Linked DNA regions of Arabidopsis thaliana. The protein of the gene in region 1 interacts with the protein of each later gene in a biochemical or structural test. Each region holds a gene or a part of one and is shown in the gene's direction. Other genes may lie near its edges.

Region 1 (5,712 bases):
TCTCTTGTACATGAAGCAAACATGTGAATCAACACATTAACAAGCAGCACTCAACAACAACAACAACAACAAGACATCAGAATTATTACAACTTAGAATCCTGCAGTTTTGCTAGCTACCCCAAGAGGAGATGAGATACCTGAATTGAACTCTGGTTGCTGACCTTCGATAGCAAACTCCTACAGCTTGAAACTGAAACATGGTAACAGAGGCTTCTCATTGCCAATGTAGACTTAAATATGTGTTGCTTTGCATCATTTATGGACCAGAAAGTGGGATAGTTATACGTGTTGGACATAGAAGTCACAAATGGCTGACCACTCCCTTGAATTAAGAAACACAAGAATAAAATATCACTGAAATCACCAGAATAGTAGGAGATGGTAGAACAACTCCACTACGTAGTCATCATCCCACAGAAGAAAGTAGCTTGGAAGAGGAATGTTTTGGTTAGCTTGAAAACTACACCATCAGACAGAAAAATCAGTAAGTAGGATCATATCTCAACCCCATTGTGGAATATGAACCAAATATGCAAGTCAATTTCTTCTACAGACAGTGGATTGGATGAGAACATTGTTTATATATAGTCTTAACATTATTTTATCATTAGTTCATTTTGAAACTTCCATCAGTCAGATTCCCTATATATATAGTAAGTTCATAAAACTAAGAAGAAAAAGCCTATATATCTTTCATATCATTGTGGACCAACAAACTTAAACAAAACCAAAACATCAACGGATCAAGTTCAAGAAACATATATAGCACATACTTAAGATACTTATCTATCTTTCCCATCGCCCAAGTCGAACTCTAATATCGGTTACAAGAAAAAAAACCTAGCATGATTCATAAGAGATAAAAGAAATATCATCCATACGAAACAAAAGAAGGGAAGATTTATGTATAGGGTTTGATTCAAGTGAATGACCATAGAGAAACATTTTCCTAGAAATCACAAAACCCAAAATTAGACCTACCCACACCAAAATCAAACTTCCGAAATAACCGTCCTTCACCGATGTTAGCATGAAACCTAAATTGAATCGGGTGAGTTAGGAGTTAGGACCAATAGCCGATGTTAGGGTTTGACAATGAGTAGGGAGATAGTGAATCGTGTCTTCCTGTAGGTAAAGAAACCGAGATCTAGGGTTTGGTCGAGATTCGAATGTTCTCGTTCTTCCTTTGAACCAGAATGGTCGTGTACACGGTTAAATGGCGTGATAAGCACGCTAACACTTCAGGAGTAATCTGTTCCTATCGCACCTCTTGTCACAGACGGTGAACCCACTGGAAAACCTAAGTGATTTTCTTAATTTTCCCGCTATTTTTGGGATTTCTCAAATTCGCCTCCAATTTTATTTACGAAAATCAAATTTTATCTCGAGCAGTAAATCTAGGGCGTTCGAGTGTCCACTAGTTTTTCTCTTTCTTTATAATATATCTAAGCTTGAAAAATAAATATTAATCAAAATGTATGAATGTTTACTTTATAGAACAATTAATGTATGATTTTTGTAATTGCAATTTGTTTTTTTTTTTTGTGACTTGTGAGTGTGCTTGGCATTGGCATGTTAAACAATTTTGTTGTCAAGTCTTTTATGATGAGAAAGATACATAAGAAACATAATCCCATAATTCCAATTTTTAAAAAATGGAGTTTGTATTTTAATAAATACTTTTGAAAAGATTATTTTTGTTGTGGTATTTTTGAAAACCGGTCAATAAAAATGATATTTGATATTTCTTTCATTATTTTATTTAAATTTAACGGATGATCGCTAATTTACACCAACCGCTTGTTCAGGGTTAGACCGGTTCAAACCGGACAATTCATAGATTTAAACCGAAACGCTAATTACATAAATAAGCTGGGAAACCTACGGAGAGAGAGTTGTCTGAGAGAAAAGGAAAGCGATCGAGAAAGACGTAATTTGATCATCGGAGTAAAAGATATTGTTCGACAGTGGGACTCCCGGGAACGAAGATGGCGATGGCATCATTCGGGCAGCTAAATCTCGAGGAACCTCCTCCAATCTGGGGATCTCGCAGCGTTGATTGCTTTGAGAAGCTCGAACAAATTGGTGAAGGCACTTACGGGTTATTCACTTTCTCTTTAATTCAATTTCACTCTTTGGTTATTCAAAAGGCTTAATTTTTACTTGGGATTGATAAATTATTGGCCTTTGAAGCGATTTTTGATTGTATGATTAGGCTTTTACAATGCCTATGTTGTGTTGCTTTTAGGAGATTTGATTGTTGTTGTTTTGCTGTTGCAGTCAAGTTTACATGGCTAAAGAAATCAAAACTGGTGAAATTGTGGCTCTCAAAAAGATACGTATGGACAATGAAAGAGAAGGGGTATGTGAATTCTTCACTTTATATGGACTATACGTTTTTTTTATGATGCTCACTATGTTTAGAACAGATGCAAGTTTTTGTTTACGATAGGAATTGTAACCCATTGTTTACAACTGGTATGATGCAGTTTCCTATAACAGCTATTAGAGAGATAAAGATTCTGAAGAAGCTTCATCATGAAAATGTCATTCAGCTGAAAGAGATTGTGACTTCACCAGGTTTGTTTAAGGAACACATATGTTGCACTGAATTAAGTTAGCTATTTCTATATAAAGAGGTCTAAACATTTTGTGTTTTGAATGGTTCTGTCTCTTAAAAGGTCGGGACAGGGATGACCAAGGAAAGCCAGGTTTGTGAAAAAAAGTGATTTCAACTACTGTCTTAGTTTCTGCTTATTGAGGATTTCTTCTTAACTAAAGGTTGTGGCTTTTTCACCTATAGATAATAACAAATACAAGGGTGGCATCTACATGGTTTTTGAGTACATGGATCATGATTTGACTGGACTAGCAGATCGTCCTGGACTGAGATTTACTGTTCCTCAAATTAAGGTATTGCACGGCTAAATAGCTCGTTACTTCTATTAGCCTTTTTCATACTTATTGTTCAACTTTATTCTAACACTCAATCCATTTAAAAGTGTTACATGAAGCAATTGCTTACCGGGCTTCACTATTGTCATGTGAATCAAGTGCTTCACCGTGATATAAAAGGTGATTTTCCTTAATACAATGTTGATGTTTGGTTATCACCTTTACTTGCATATTAACCTAGATTTTGATCCAGGCTCAAATCTCCTTATCGACAATGAGGGAAATTTAAAGCTGGCTGATTTTGGGCTTGCACGGTCGTATTCTCATGATCATACTGGAAATCTTACAAATCGTGTCATCACATTGTGGTATAGGTAAGCCTAAAAATCGTCATTCAAAGTTTACATGATATACATAGATAGTCTTAATATTATGGTCTTTGCTAATTCATTGTTATTACTACTTTGCTGATTTACATATATTGCGGCAGGCCCCCTGAATTACTACTTGGGGCTACAAAATATGGCCCAGCAATTGACATGTGGTCGGTTGGTTGCATATTTGCCGAACTTTTGCATGCAAAACCAATCTTACCTGGGAAAAATGAGGTCAGCGTTTCATCTTTGCTGAAAGCGCAGTTCTTTTGAAAATTTCAGATGTTAAGACAGTGTGCTTTCGTGCCACTAATAATATAAGAATCTACATGGTCTCCTGGTTGCATTGTGATATCATTGGAGTAGAAAACCTAAGGGATTAACTAGAATTAGATTTATCGGCACTTTTATTTTGGGACCGTGGGAGGCTGGTTAGGTTCTTTGCATTATATCATGTATACAAAATGGTATAGACGCAGTTATGTATACATGTTATTGATAATCTCAAAAAAATATGTGCCATCTCCTACATTGTTTCAGCAAGAACAATTGAACAAGATATTTGAGCTTTGTGGATCACCTGATGAAAAACTTTGGCCTGGGGTTTCCAAGATGCCTTGGTTCAACAATTTCAAGCCTGCACGGCCCTTGAAGAGGCGTGTAAGAGAGTTCTTCAGACAGTAAGTAAAGTAAACCATTATATATCTCCGCTTTACTTTGATCAGAAGATTTCATTTGGCTTTACTTTCTCTTCTGTACAGCTTTGATCGGCATGCTCTTGAATTACTGGAGAAAATGTTGGTGCTTGATCCAGCACAGGTATCAGAGACCTTTATTCTTATTCCCAGCGAATTATCTTTCTTAAAAACTGTCTTTTACTGTTTTTTGGATGAAACATACCTCTTCAAGTCAGGACATTGTTAACACCATTTAGATATTTAATGTCTCCTTTTTTTCTTTCCCCTGTGTAGAGAATATCGGCAAAGGATGCTCTTGATGCCGAGTACTTTTGGACTGATCCGTTGCCATGTGACCCAAAGAGGTATTTGTATATTCTGATTTTCTCTGACAAAGTTCATGAAACTCATCTGGTGCATCATCATCTAGCTTATTAGACAGGCGATCGTGGGGAATTTTTTCTGACTAAATTAAGGTTTCATTTCAACAGTCTGCCCACATATGAATCATCACATGAGTTCCAGACAAAGAAAAAGCGGCAACAGCAGCGCCAAAACGAGGAAGCAGCAAAAAGACAGAAACTGCAGCATCCACCGCTGCAGCACTCTCGCTTACCCCCATTACAACATGGTGGACAGTCTCATGCTGCTCCACATTGGCCTGCAGGTCCAAACCATCCCACTAACAACGCACCACCACAAGTACCTGCTGGACCCAGCCACAACTTCTATGGGAAGCCGCGTGGTCCACCTGGTCCAAACCGCTACCCTCCTAGCGGAAACCAGAGCGGGGGTTATAATCAAAGCCGAGGAGGTTACAGCAGTGGATCATATCCTCCACAAGGACGTGGAGCTCCTTATGTGGCTGGTCCTAGAGGGCCTAGTGGTGGCCCGTACGGGGTTGGACCTCCTAACTACACACAAGGTGGTCAGTATGGTGGCTCTGGTAGCTCGGGAAGAGGGCAGAATCAGAGAAACCAGCAATACGGATGGCAACAGTAAAGAGCTCTAATGATTTGTTGATCTGATATCTTACTCTTACATTTAATGTGATACTAGTAATAAACTAATAATAGATTAATATGAGAAACTGAATCTCTTTCTTTTCCCAATTCTTTCCAAGTCTTATTTCGTTATCCAAACATTTTCTAGTAATGTCAAGATGGAGACTGACAGTGTGTGATGTAAAAGAAATGAGCAATGAGAACAGAGCAAAACATGCCATTCTTCTTCATAAGCTTTCAGACGTCTTTATTACACAACTCTATATTGAAAACAAAACCTCTCCAAAGAAAAACTAGAGTCTCCAAGTGTAATCACCTTTCCTCATACCAGGATTTATTTGTTCCATAAAATTATGAATCTTTCGTTTAAAAATCTTCCTATTCTGCTGCTGTGTATATATTTAAAACTGATTAACAAGCACAACCACCTCGTTGTTGCTCCCCTTGAGCCGAATTGCTCGAAGTCTTTAGATTCACATCAACCATATCCTCTTGTTTCGTTGAAGAAAGTGTTTCCATTCCTGGTAACGCTGCTGCAATCTTGCGAAAAAGTGGCTGCAAGTTTCCAAAACACCAGAACAAGAAAGCCAAGCGTTATTCCAAGAAATCTCAAGATCTTAAACGAGTAATGAGAGCATAGTTGCATCTCTCACCTTGATGTTAAATCCTGCTTTTGCACTGGTCTCAATGAATATTACTCCATAATCACGAGCTTTGTTATCACCTTCCTCAATCGACACTTGCCTGTCAAATGGAAATA
Region 2 (5,448 bases), on another chromosome or scaffold:
AGTATCAGCAAGTTTGATTATTAACGCTTGAAAGCTAGTCGAATGTAATAATAAATCGACATTTTGATATCTTACGAATATTAATGCCTCAGGTGACGTATCTCCGTTGTGGGGGTATGATCCTCTGCACCGCGATCAATCATTGCCTCTGCGACGGCATTGGCACATCGCAGTTCCTACATGCATGGGCCCATGCGACCACTAGCCAAGCTCATCTTCCGACCCGACCATTCCACTCCCGTCACGTATTAGATCCGCGAAACCCTCCACGTGTCACACACTCACATCCCGGTTTCACCCGAACCACCACCGTAGACAAAAGCTCCACCTTCGACATTTCCAAGTATTTACAGTCCCAACCATTGGCTCCTGCCACCTTAACCTTCAACCAATCTCATCTCCTACGCTTAAAGAAAACCTGCGCTCCTTCGCTAAAATGCACCACGTTCGAGGCACTAGCGGCTAACACTTGGCGCTCGTGGGCTCAATCTCTAGATTTACCAATGACCATGCTGGTCAAACTCTTATTCTCAGTCAATATGAGAAAACGACTAACTCCAGAACTTCCCCAAGGGTATTACGGTAATGGATTCGTACTAGCTTGCGCCGAGAGCAAGGTACAAGACCTAGTCAATGGTAATATTTACCACGCTGTAAAATCGATACAAGAGGCAAAATCAAGAATTACCGACGAATATGTAAGATCAACGATAGATTTACTGGAGGATAAAACGGTGAAAACGGACGTCTCGTGCAGTTTGGTCATTTCACAATGGGCGAAATTGGGATTAGAGGAGTTGGACTTGGGAGGAGGAAAGCCAATGTATATGGGTCCTTTGACGAGTGATATCTACTGTTTATTTTTACCCGTGGCGAGCGATAATGATGCCATCAGAGTTCAAATGTCCCTGCCGGAGGAAGTTGTGAAGAGACTAGAGTATTGCATGGTTAAGTTTTTAGACGGAAAAGATAACGAAGATGAGAATTCTCGTGCATGCTAAAGTTTCTATATACATTTCAGTGGTCTATAATAAAAGAGTACTTCACTTGTCGATTTTTGATTGGTTTTAATATGTTTTATGTACGAAATATTTTCTTATATATAAGTTTGAAAACAGAAAATAGACATATGAACCCCAATAAAGACTAATTAAAGAGAGTACTAGAGTAGCTCACTTGTCGATTTTTGATTGGTTTTTATTAAACACAAAATGGATAATATGATGAGTTTAAAAACAGTCTTTCTCCATGCTAGTATGATAATGATATTGACTGATCGATGAATTCAAAGGAATACATGTTTTAGTTTAGTTCATCAACTTTAGCTTAACGTACGGTTCTTAAATCGAAGCCAAAATTCAAATAAATATTAATATATATCCAATTTTGGTAATCTCTATCAGATTATAGCTTTATGAAAATAAAAAATTTAACAATGATTCAAATTGCTAAATGCTAATATATTGGTTAAAGTGTTATTTTCTGCAAAAGTTCAAATAATGTTAAGACTATTTCTATGTAGTTTGATCATTTCAATCTCAACCACATAAAAAACGACACTATATATTAATTCGAAGCCCATATCCATTATCGAATATGATGAATTGCTTACAATCATAAAGTCAAAGCCCATATCCATTTTATAAATAGAGTTAGATATTTATCTTTTTTAGGTCGCAACACCGCAATAGATCTTTTCCCCAAGTTTCAGACAAACATAAAGCAGCAGAGAAAATTTTCAAGTTTCAAAGAGCTTTTCCCTCACCAAGCAAAATTTGGGTTAGTGAAATCTCAAATTTTGCTATCCAATTTCGTTAATCCTTCCTTTGTTAGAGTCGATTTCGTTGTCCTCTGATCTCATCTCTTGAATCAATCGGCTCCTCTAATCCTTTACCTCCTTCACGTTTCGTAATTATTCGATCTGTTTTCTGCAGATTTCGTGAATTTAATTTAATCGCCTCCTCGATTTTAATATTTCGTGATTTGATAGAATCTGTTGGAAATTTCTTGATGTTGCGATAATGGGTCAAAAAATATATATGTGAAGCTGAGATCAGATTTGTGTCGTATTATGTCCCAAAGCTATTTAACAATGAATCTGTGTTTGCTATTTGCAGATATTTGTCAGCAAAATCTGCAGCTAAATTGGGACTTGTCTTGTTAGTTCAAAGATTGAAACTTTTTTGGTTAATTGTTTGGCGGAAGAAGATTTACAATGGGAGAGGAGCATCCGAGAAAGCGGTCTAGACAACATTTTGAAGCGGAGGCGAGAAACGTATCGTTGTTTGAATCCCCTCAATGCGAAACCTCCAAGTGGTATTTCAGCAGGGAAGAGATTGAGCGTTTCTCTCCATCCAGAAAAGATGGGATTGATCTTGTGAAGGAGTCGTTTTTACGGTCTTCGTATTGCACCTTCCTGCAAAGACTTGGCATGAAGCTTCATGTGTAAGCTCACCATAGTATTACTTTGTTGTTTTGTCATCTAGGAAGAAATAGTGTTTGTTCTTTGGTTGTTTGCTAGAAAATCTACTTATGACGTCTCCTTGTCTTCTGATATTTCTTGGTACGTTTTTTTAGCTAAAGAGGGTGCCTAATGCATGACAATGGATAGCCTAACTGTTGAATTTTGTCGTAGGGCCACTGTGGGAGGTGGTCTGGAGGTTCTCCAACTATAGATTCTCGATTTTGTCTACATTTATATCTCGTGAATGGAAGAATTATGTAATAATAGTCAGAATTTGGTGTCCATGCATCATATATTGACTCACTTGTCACTTCTCATCGGCAATGGGAGGATTTGCATCTGTTGTGAATTTGCTTGGGAGCTGTTCACCTGTTTAGACATGACCTTCTGATCTATATGTCTTTGTATTTGTAATTCTCTGCTGGGTTATCAAAACCCTCAGCTGTGTTCCTACCTTTACCAACTGATGTTCTTAGTTTTCTGAGCAAGTGCACGTCTCTCTCCGGCCTACTTTTTTGAATCATCTAATCATAGGTACTGGTGTATTTTTGTCTTCTGCATTACTCACGTGTGTCGGAAAAGTTTATAAATGCTGGTTTCGGTGAAAGTGATGTCTAGCTATTAGTTGCTGCCCGAGATATCATAACATTGACCTTGTTCATGTTAAAGGTTTTTGACAATCTCATTGCTTCAGGTCCCAGGTTACAATATCATGTGCAATGGTGATGTGCCACAGGTTTTACATGCGCCAATCTCATGCAAAAAATGACTGGCAGGTAAGAATGCTTTAGTATTCATATGGTTCATCAATTGCGTTCATTGGAGCTGACATGTAAATATTAATGATTGAATAGTCTGCAACAGATATATTGATTCTTCTTACAAAATTTGGGTTATGAGCAATATAATGTTGATGAAAACAAGTCAAAAGTGGTTATTTAATAGTTATTCAGTCTTCCTGGTTAATTAGAAGTGTATATGATTGCTGCTAAATATTTCCACTTCGGTTTCTCACTCGGTGATTTTGCAGACAATAGCGACTTCCAGTCTGTTCCTCGCTTGCAAAGCTGAAGATGAGCCATGTCAACTGTCCAGTGTCGTTGTAGCGTCTTATGAAATAATTTATGAGTGGGATCCTTCTGCCTCAATTAGAATCCATCAAACTGTAAGTGTATACATACATCTATGTATTGGTAAATTCGCACTGTGCATTTTGCTAATTTATTACATGTTGCTCTGCCTGTAGGAGTGTTATCATGAATTTAAAGAAATTATTTTGTCCGGGGAAAGTCTTCTGCTGAGCACAAGTGCTTTCCATTTAGACATTGAACTTCCCTACAAACCTCTGGCTGCGGCTTTGAATAGACTGAACGCTTGGCCTGACCTTGCAACAGCTGCATGGAATTTTGTGCATGACTGGTAAAGACCCTTGTTAATAATATCTGCCCGATTTTTCCCCTACATTGAGTTTGAATCTTATTATGCATTGTGTGTAGGATTCGAACCACACTATGCTTGCAGTACAAACCCCATGTTATTGCAACAGCCACTGTGCACCTAGCTGCTACGTTTCAGAATGCGAAAGTAGGCAGCAGGAGAGATTGGTGGTTGGAGTTTGGAGTTACAACTAAGCTATTAAAAGGTTTGCTGTTCAAACTCTATTTTTTCCTCTGGTATTATTGCAGTCATTTGATCAAGTGAGATGTAGTGTTTCTATAATGTTAGCGCTAGGAATATGTGGTACTGTAGCTCCAGCTCATGTTAGGTTCTTACCCTGTGCACATATTGAGTTTGGAATTAGGTAGTGGCCTGAACGAAGAGATGTGCTGCTATTGATTTTAGCGGTTGATTAAAAATAATTGGATGTTTTCATTATGGTGACAGAGGTAATCCAGGAGATGTGCACACTGATAGAAGTGGACAGAAGGAGGAATATGCCACCTCCACCTCCACCTCCAAGAAGAGAGTTAAGTTGGGCAATACCTGCAGCCGTAAAGCCGGTCCATATGGCTAGAGCTTATCCGTTTCACAGCTACCCTTTGCAGTCCTATAGACAGGCTGGCATCTGGTGAGCCATTGTTGAGCAGCATGAAGATGTAATCTCTCTTAGAGTCTTGAGTTGGTTTAGCAATAAAAGATTTCCGTAGAGACTCATGAGAGAGGCAGTGTAGCATTATATAGAGATCCGAGTGAGGTGCTTCTGTCTAAGTTAAGCGTCTCATGTATGACCAAAGTGGATTCTCTCGAGATTCTTGGTCTCTGTTCTCGATAGAGAGAGATTATGTATAGAAGTGTCCCATTCACATGTTATAATACTAGCTGACTTTATATCGTTTGTATATCTGGAATCTATGTTTTTGGTTTCTTTAAAAAGTTTAAAGTTGTTTTGATTTTGACTAATTCTCTCATTGTTAAGTAATTTGGTTTTTGATGAAGTGCTATTAGGTCTGTGTTGAGTTGAGACTTGAGACGAACACAATCATCATATGATCAAGCTTATACCGATCGGATAAGTAATTAACCGGTTCAATTAACTACACCTAGCTTATACCGATCGTATAAACCGGTCAAGAACCAAAACCGCTTGGTTTCCATTCTAGACCAAACCGGATTCTAGTTTCCATTATTATTATCTTTTTTATCGGATTAAAAATATAAATCCTTATGTCAGGAGATCCCATTCTCTGTCTCTCTGTCTTTCTCCCCCAACTCGCGAACAAAGCAAACCCTAGATCATCCATCGGCGAGTGAGACGGCAGCTCCTCGTCGGTAATTCCTTCCACCGGCGGCGACCACTCACCCTCAGATCTCTCAATCCCACTCATCTCTGTAACATTCTGTACGCTTTCTCTCTCTCTTTCTTCGCTTTTGTGATCTATTACGGCTCGGTCTCTGTGCCTCCCAGCTCTATTTTGGAGCACTGCTTCGTCTCTGTGTTTATTTGGCTCCTTTGTGTGTTTCTCTATCTCTGCTTTTCTTTTGTA

What was found. Proteins that work in one complex are often made in the same cells at the same time.
Region 2: the proteins of CDKC;1 (region 1) and CYCT1;3 form a complex in vitro, tested with the Arabidopsis thaliana proteins (one study listed by BioGRID).

The regions. Positions count from the first base shown.
Region 1 is NC_003076.8:3,220,953-3,226,664, reverse strand, and holds CDKC;1 (cyclin-dependent kinase C;1), read left to right. Parts: upstream 1-1,876; 5' UTR 1,877-1,990; coding exon 1,991-2,103; intron 2,104-2,282; coding exon 2,283-2,364; intron 2,365-2,491; coding exon 2,492-2,582; intron 2,583-2,683; coding exon 2,684-2,713; intron 2,714-2,805; coding exon 2,806-2,915; intron 2,916-3,004; coding exon 3,005-3,077; intron 3,078-3,150; coding exon 3,151-3,271; intron 3,272-3,387; coding exon 3,388-3,505; intron 3,506-3,811; coding exon 3,812-3,951; intron 3,952-4,032; coding exon 4,033-4,090; intron 4,091-4,242; coding exon 4,243-4,313; intron 4,314-4,439; coding exon 4,440-4,950; 3' UTR 4,951-5,172; downstream 5,173-5,712. Other genes in the region: RABH1e (RAB GTPase homolog H1E), read right to left, coding at 5,364-5,507, 5,606-5,696.
Region 2 is NC_003070.9:9,609,432-9,614,879, forward strand, and holds CYCT1;3 (cyclin T 1;3), read left to right. Parts: upstream 1-1,621; 5' UTR 1,622-1,779; intron 1,780-2,048; exon of another isoform or gene 2,049-2,117; 5' UTR 2,118-2,215; coding exon 2,216-2,445; exon of another isoform or gene 2,446-3,158; coding exon 3,159-3,240; intron 3,241-3,494; coding exon 3,495-3,629; intron 3,630-3,710; coding exon 3,711-3,883; intron 3,884-3,960; coding exon 3,961-4,106; intron 4,107-4,189; coding exon of another isoform or gene 4,190-4,269; exon of another isoform or gene 4,270-4,348; coding exon 4,349-4,536; 3' UTR 4,537-4,905; downstream 4,906-5,448. Other genes in the region: AT1G27620 (HXXXD-type acyl-transferase family protein), read left to right, coding at 93-1,001; AT1G27640 (uncharacterized protein), read right to left, coding at 5,032-5,448.